2 linked regions of the Rattus norvegicus genome follow. The protein of the gene in region 1 interacts with the protein of each later gene in a pairwise test. Links are inferred from orthologs where the notes say so. Each region holds a gene or a part of one and is shown in the gene's direction. Other genes may lie near its edges.

Evidence for each region.
Region 2: the proteins of Mrfap1 (region 1) and Brk1 interact in binary tests that used the Homo sapiens proteins (3 or more experiments, as listed by UniProt). The link is inferred for Rattus norvegicus from reciprocal best matches to the Homo sapiens genes MRFAP1 and BRK1.

What each region holds. Positions count from the first base shown.
Region 1 is NC_086032.1:78,225,936-78,229,653, forward strand, and holds Mrfap1 (MORF4 family-associated protein 1), read left to right. Parts: upstream 1-1,289; 5' UTR 1,290-1,411; coding exon 1,412-1,789; 3' UTR 1,790-1,799; intron 1,800-2,048; 3' UTR 2,049-3,067; downstream 3,068-3,718.
Region 2 is NC_086022.1:148,304,947-148,309,311, forward strand, and holds the start of Brk1 (protein BRICK1), read left to right. Parts: upstream 1-1,489; 5' UTR 1,490-1,510; coding exon 1,511-1,628; intron 1,629-4,365. UniProt on the Homo sapiens protein: Involved in regulation of actin and microtubule organization. Part of a WAVE complex that activates the Arp2/3 complex. As component of the WAVE1 complex, required for BDNF-NTRK2 endocytic trafficking and signaling from early endosomes.

The sequences.
Region 1 (3,718 bases):
TGCTGTCAAGAAAACCTAAAGGCTGGATTTTTTTTTTTTAAATTAAAAGCCACGGAACATATGGGCTGGAGAGATGACTCAGTGGTTAAGAGCACTGACTACTTTCAGAAGTCCTGAGTTCAATTCCCAGCAACCACATGGTGGCTCACAACCATCTGTAATGGGATCAGATGCCCTCTTCTGGTGTGTCTGAAGACAGCTACAATGTATTTACTTATGTAGAATAAATAAATAAATAAATAAATAAATAAATAAATAAATTGAAAAAAGCCACTGAGTGTGAAGAGTCCAGTTAAAGATATGCATTTTAAATATGCCTATGGTTGGTATTTGCAAAGTGGTTTCATGACTCCTGGTTGGAAAACCAGCGAGATACATGGTTCATATTCTTGAGAAAGTGCTGTCTGATCAAGAGACTAAGAATTCGGCATCTTCCCTTAAAGTTCAGTGTTGAGTAATTGTTTGACTACGACAACTTCTGTCCTTTCCACATCAGGTGATCACCAACTGAACTTTGGGTCAGCTGGGACCTCAGAACGCATCAGACAATAGTTTCACCTCAGGAAGCCAGGAGCTCTGTCTGGTAAAAAACACCCAGGCACTCATCAATCAAGATAAGATAATTACACTTAAATTAATCAAGAGGCGGAGCTATGAGCAGTATGACTGTCCACACTGTGGATTTCCAATTTTCCTCCTTCCCAGTTTTGGAAAGCTGTTTTTTGTTATTGTTTGCTTGTTAATTTTGTTTTGTTTTGAAACAGGGTCTCACTACTGGATTTCACTATGTACACTAAAATGGCCTCAAACTCAACAATCTGCCGGCCTCTGCGTCCCAGGTGCTGGGATTGCAAGCAGGCTCGTTCTTTTACGTTTCTTCCTTCCTTTCTTTTTTTTTTAAAAGTAAATTTGTCAGACATGGGAAGGTACGGCAAGAAGATTGCTCAGAGTTCAAGATCAGTTTAAGCCAAATAATTGAGTTCCAGGACAGCCTTGCTACAACGTGAGGTCCTGTTTCAAAAGGTAAATAAATAAAATCAGAATAAGAAACAATGAGGAGTGAACTTGGCATCATTCAGAGAAGAGTGCATCACCAAGAGCTTTAGAGGTGTGACGAGCTGATGTTTGCGCGCGGCCGCGGAGGCGCTTGCTCCGCCCCTTCATGGACGTGCGCGCGCCCGCACCTCGCACCGCGGCCGTAAAGAGGGGCGCGGCTGTGTCGTGAAAGTGGTCGCAAGGCGCAGAGCTCTGGTTGACGGTTGGGACTCCATTTTGTTCGCCGCTCGTCTGCTTCGCAGCCGCTCGTCTCCGTGGCTTCTCCGAGGCAGAAAGTTGGAACAGCGGCGGAAGTTTTGAAGACTCGGCCCGAGCTCGGTCACTGAGTGTCGTGCAGACAAGCAAAGCAGCGGAGATGCGGCCCCTGGACGCAGTGGAGCTGGCGGAGCCCGAGGAGGTGGAGGTGCTGGAGCCGGAGGAGGACTTCGAGCAGTTTCTGCTGCCCGTCATCCACGAGATGCGCGAGGACATCGCGTCGCTGACGCGCGAGCGCGGACGCGCGCCCGTGCGCAACCGGGGCAAGCTGTGGGAGATGGACAATATGCTGATCCAGATCAAGACGCAGGTAGAGGCCTCTGAGGAGAGCGCTCTCAACCACCTGCAGGGCGCGGGCGGCGCCGAGCCCCGCGGCCCCAGGGCGGAGAAGGCCGACGAGAAGGCGCAGGAGATGGCGAAGATGGCCGAGATGCTGGTGCAGCTCGTGCGGCGGATAGAGAAGAGCGAGTCTTCGTGAGCCGTCCGCGGTAAGGGCGGGAGCCTGGTGGGGCGTGGGCGACTGAGGGGAGGAGGCTGGCTTGTCGCCCCGGAGTAAACTAGGCCCCTCTGGGGAAGGTGTATAGCAAATTGTCGGTGGGGAGACCCTGGAAGATTCCAGATTGTGCTGGAAAGCATGAGGCCCTGAGCAAGGCAATCTCCAGGAGGGTCCGGGTGTTTGCTCTACTGTCCTGCGTGATTAACCTTTCGGTGATGCATCTCTCCCGCCCGTGCTTTAGGTTTCCAGCCAATGGATTCTGGTTGAGTGATGGCGATTGGCTGACATGACACCCTGGAGAAGCTGAAACCAGAGAGCCTTTGTTTTCCTTTTTTCTTTCTTTATTTTTTTTTCTTTTCCCCTCTGTCTTCACTCTGTTCTCACTGACACTACGTTTCTGCTATGGTCTGCGGTTGACGACCTCGATATGAGTTTTTGATTATTCAGTGGTTCCTTTTTTTTTGTTTGTTTGGGGAAAATAACTTTGATTTGGAAAATGCGCTCACATACGGGAATTAGGGCCTAGATTGTAAGCCCTGTGGCAGTTGAATAACGTTCATTCCTGGGCTTTGGTTGTTGTTCCTGAATTTTGAGGTGCTTTGCTCTTTCTTGGGTGACCTGATAGCTCCCTGAACTTTGGGTCCCTGTGACACTTGAGACTTGGAGTTGGAGCTCACCGCCTCTGAAAGTTCTGAAGAAGCTGCGTTAATTCTAGAAGAGGACTCCATGCAGCAATGGCAGAAGAAGGGCCCAGACTTCATCTGGGACTGTGGATGGGCCTTACACGGCTAGGACTGATGACCTGGGAGAAGGGTCGGAGGATTGTATTGTTTCTATGGGGGGACTTTAATTTCTGTGTGAGACCAAAGGAGGAGAGATGTATTTTGTGCAAATTTTAAATTTTATGTGCTACACTATCTATTATAACCTGCCTGATGAGTTTGTTGGGACAGCCTAACTCATTTTTAAATGAAACGGAACCCGGTATGGGAGATGAGGTCTTGTTCGTCTGTACAAGTTGGTATCCCCATATATTTGAGGAGATCCTGGGCGTAAAATGAAAGATCCTTGCAATACCCTTTGTGTACTGAGAAGGAAAACCTGCAATGGACCCAAAACTTCAAGGAAGAGGCGTCTTCAAGGTTCATATGTAGTCAAGCTATAAATGTGTGGCAGACCTGATAAGCATTTGAGGTCAAAACCCTTACCATGTTGAAAACAAAATCTTACATGTTAATAAAAGTATCGTTTGCTTGAAAAGATAAGCCCAGAGAGTTATTAAGTCTTCATTCAGCGGCCTGTGCTTAGTTTGCATGAACGTCCTCTAGCTTTGGGAGCTCTGGGTGAGCAGAAGGGAACTTCTGGCTCTGGCTACTGTAGGATAGGAGATTCTCCATTCCTAGTAGGAAGTACGTAGTCTTAGCCTCTGAGACCAGTCCTTTAGCTTGACTCCTGCTCTTTAGCTGTCTTGCATGGAGACAGTAGTGTTGATACACCGTAGCAGGCAGCAGCCACAATGTATCGACTCCCTTCAGACTAGAAGGGCTGGGTCCCCAGCTGCTGGGATTGACCCTCTATAGGAAATACCCCTACCAAACAATGGCTTTGGCCCATCTCTTTCCTGGGTGGCCCAAGTCCAAGGCCCTCCCTTTTAAGGACATCCCAAACATCTTTGCATTCTTGTGTCTGTTGAGGGAACTGAGGCCCAGCCTAACTTCTGACTGCTCAGTGTGTTCCTTCCCAGGGGTGATCATTGAACTTCACCTGTATGGTCTTAGTGCTGCTTCCTGGAGTAACTTCTGATCTCTTAACAGACGCACTTGCCTTCGATCATGACAAGCAGGTGTAGGAGGGTTTTCCAGAGCGCTGTTTCGATAAGCTTGGCCTTGGATAAGCACAACTTCAGAAGTC
Region 2 (4,365 bases), on another chromosome or scaffold:
TAAAATTTTTAAAAATTTTACATCTTGGCACTGGGTGGTTATGAGGTGTGCCTTTAATCCCAGCACCCTAGAAGCAGAGGCAGGTGAATCTCTGAGTTTGAGACCAGCCTGATCTACAAAGGTGTCTCAGTTAAGGTTTCCAACACTGTGAAGAGGCACCATAACAAGGAAACGCTTAGAAAGTCAAACATTGAATTGGGGCTGGCTTACAGTTTCAAAGGTTCAGTCCATTTTCATCATGGTGGAAAGCATGGTACCCAGCAGGCCAACTTGATCTAAAGGCAGTCAGGAGGTGGCTGTCTTCTGCAGACAGCCAGGAGGAGGCTCTGATTCCACACCAGCCAGACTTTGAACACTAGGAAACCTCAAAGCTCACACCCACAGTGACATGCCCACTCCAACAAGGCCACACCTCCTCACAGAGCCACTCCCCATGGGTCAAGTATTCAAACATAGGCCAAACCTATTGAAACCACCACACAAGGGTTGACTCCACCTTTGTTTAGCTTTACTGCAATTACTATAGCAGGCACTACCTCAAAGCCCAATTCTTAGGGTTAAAGTATTTCTCTCAGTCTCTTGAGTGCTGAAGTTACAAGCATGCGCGATGACCACTTCCTTTAACGATTTTCTTAATGACTCGGTGGAAAGGTTAGAGATTGCTTTTGCAGTTCTTGATAGAAATTGCTCTAGTTTACACTGAGACTTACCATTTTGCTTCAGCCTGTCCATCGCTGGGCATTAGCATTAAAAATGTAGTTTGCTCATTTGGTCAATATGGAGATTCAGAATCCGTGGGATGCCTCGATTAATAAAGACACTTGCCACCCGAAAATGGAAGGCAAGGAACCAACTCCTGAAAGTTGTCCTGTAACTTCTGCTTGCGTGTTGTGTCACATGTACGCTTACACACACGTAATATGAATAAAAATTTTAGCATGGCGGTGGTGGCCCACACCTTTACTCCCAGCACTCAGGAGGGAGAGGCAGGTGGATCTCAGAGTTCGAGACCAACCTGGTTTACAGAGTGAGTTTAGGGACAGCCAGGACTACACAGAGAGATCCTGTCTCGAAAAACAAACAACAACAATAACAATTTTAAAAGAAAACGAGAATGAGCAGAGTTGTGACCCAAGCATGAAAAGCATCTTGAACGGGATTTGTGGACTGTGGCCAAATCTGCTGACAAAGCGCAAGAAAGCTTGGAGCAACCCTAGGTGGAGGTAGGAGCGTGTGGGCGTCCCCTAACGACAAGACCCGCTAGTGATCAGCGGGTTTGTGCAGGCGGGGACAGGGTAGCTCTCAGTCTTCACAGTGCGAGTGGAGGAGCCTTGTTTTCCCCTGCGTGGGAGCCAAACTGGAACGGTGAAGACAGTTAGTCTGCGCGTGCGCGCCTCAATGCCAGGACTTTCTGGGGCTCGAACACTTGGGTGCCGGCGGCAGCGCAGGCGCGTTGGAGGCCTGTGGAGGTCGCGGCGCCTGCGCAGTCACTCTTCCTCAGGCTGCCGCCATGGCGGGACAAGAGGATCCGGTGCAGCGAGAGATTCACCAGGACTGGGCGAACCGGGAGTACATTGAGATCATCACCAGCAGCATCAAGAAAATCTCGGACTTTCTCAACTCTTTCGGTCAGCGGGCGAGCAGGGGAGGCTGGGAGGAGGGAGGCATCGGAGGCTGCCGGCGGCGCTCAGGAGAGGCGCGCCGTGCCGGCTACTCGCTTCCTCTTTCGCTCCCTGCCGGCCCCAGGACCCTCACCCTGAGCCTCACTAGGCGGTTTCCGTGGGTCTACCCTACCCATTGCCATGCCCCGCTTGCGCACGTCAGCGCGCCCGCTGCCCAGCCTCTTAGGCCCATCCATCGTCTGACTTGGTTTGCGCTGCCCTTCCTTGCCAGTCTGCACTTGGCACGCAGTGCGCAGCCGTGTCACAGTCACGAATACTGTTAAGAGACTCCTGATAGTTCTCCATCTCCTTCAGGATCAAGTCGGAAAGCCCTTAGTGCCATGCCTTCTATTGCTCCCGTTTAACCATTCCCCTGCCGTTCATTCCCCCAGCTCCCTTTGGTTCTAGTGATGAGGGTTGTAAGGGATGGGGCCCTGTCGGGTCTTGGAAATGCGTTTTGTAGCCCTGTATCTGCTTCATAGTAGGTGTTCTGGGTGCTTCTGTCTGGTTCCTCGGGTTTAACAGGGCAGATTGCTTTCAGCAGAGTCTACTTTTCCAAAAACTATTCCTAGGTGTGGCCGGCTGCTGACAGTCTTGATTTCTTTCTGCATGTGTTCCTAGCCTTCTGGACTGAAAACCTGTCACAGACTCCTTACGGTCTCCGGAAGGGTTCCTTCAGGAACTTTCTTACACAATACAAGACGTGCAGATGGCATCCAGTGATCTTTTTCAACTAGAGTACTGTGGTTCTACTAATTAGCAACTTTCAGCATCTTTGGGAGAGTGCTGTATTTTGGAAAGTAAATTAAAATGAGTCGATTATTTTCTAGCTAAAGACCTGATGAGTCCTAAGTAGTATAATGGAGGTGACAGAGCAGAATGATGTAGTTCAGGTGTTGGGCTCCTGAGTGGCAGGCACAAGACCCTCCACTCCTTAGAAAGTAAAGAGTTTTCTCTTTTTCTCCGCCCCCCCTTTTGGGTGTTGTTGTTGTTGTTGTTGTTGTTGTTTTGTTTTGTTTTTTGTTTGTTAAGAAAAGAGAACAAAAAAGAAGGCGGAAACGCATCATTAAGCGACTAGGGATTCCCTGTCTGTAGAGCAGTGGCCCTGCAGGCGCACACTGTGCCTCTAAGTAGCAGCACTCAGGAAGCAGAGGCAGGAGGAACTCAAACTCATCTGCTTTGTAGAAAGTTTGAGTCCAGCCTGGTAGAACAAAGCAAAAATCAGCAGGGGTAACTGGTCCTTACACAGGTCCTGCTGTATTTGGTGGCTCGCGCCTGTGCTCTTAGCACTTGAGAGAGGAAGGCTGGAAGAGTGTTATGCATCTGAGGCCAGCCTGGTCCTCAGAACAGCCACAAAAAAGGAACCATTTTCTGGGGCTCTAAAGATTGCTCAGCTTCCAGAGGACCCAGGTACAAATCCCAGGACCCACGCTGCAGTTCGCAACTGTCCATAACTCCAGTTCTAGGGGATATGACACAGACATATATGAAGGGAGACTATCAATGTAAAAAAAAAAAATCCATCTTCTGTATTCAAAGGCGTTCCTTCGGTTGGGGATTTAGCTCAGTGGTAGAGCGCTTGCCTAGGAAGTGCAAGGCCCTGGGTTCGGTCCCCAGCTCCGGAAAAAAAAAAACAAAAAAAAAAAACAAAGGCGTTCCTTCAGGTTGTTGAGATGGCTTGGCAGGTAAAAGCCACCAAGTCTGGCAACCTGCATACAATCGTCAGGGTCTACAAGGTGAGAGAACCAACTGCCACACGTTGTCTTCTGACCCCACAACGGTACCGTAGTACATGCTCACACCCACCTTCAAATACAGCATAAAGAAGAGATCTTAATCTGTCCATCCATCCTCCGTCTCCCCTACTCCATTTTGGTTTTGAGTCTTGGAAATTGCTAGAGCTCTAGGTTCACCGTGTTCAACTTTTTCTTCCCTTCCCCTCCTGTGATAATTAGTCTATCACTTTATGCTGGCCTGGAACTCTATTGATCAAGGATGTCCTCTAATTTGCGATGCCTCTTCTTGGCTCCGCTTCCCAGGTGCTGGGATTAGAAGTGTACTTACAAAATGTGTAGGGCTCCATGTAAGCTTACATGGATTTTCTCAACGGGGAACGGAGGTTAAAGATTAATTAGTGAGGGAGTAGCATAAATGTGTCAGTGCCATAGCCTCACACCCGTAAGTCACTGTGGAGGCTACGGTAGAGAACTGTAGTCAATAAGAGTTCACGTATCCCCAGAAGAAGCCGATTTAAGAAGTATAAGAAAAAGAATTCAACTCCGTGGGCAAGGCAGGTGGGCTCGCAGTTCAACCCTATGATGCAGATTCAAACATTTCGAGAACTGATCATTTGTCCTGCCGCCCATAGTCTAGTTTCCCTGTGGAGGTTTTCTGTTTTGGCCCAGGACCTTGTGAATGCTGGAATCAACTCCACCCTAAGTTGCACTTGCTGGGCGTGTGCTTTCTGTGTAAATGACTTCCATGTTTGGTCCACGTAGTTGATTTCTCCTACTTTGCCAGAGAACTGGAATATTTCACTTTTTTATTTAAACAGCATTCCTTATTGAAAAACATCCCCTCAAGTAAGAATCAAATGAACTGACAAACATTCCCTCAAGGAAGAATCGAATGAAAGAAATTAAAATAGCCTGATGTGGTGGTTTATACCTGTAATCCTGCCTGGCTGAGGCAAAAGAATTGCCAT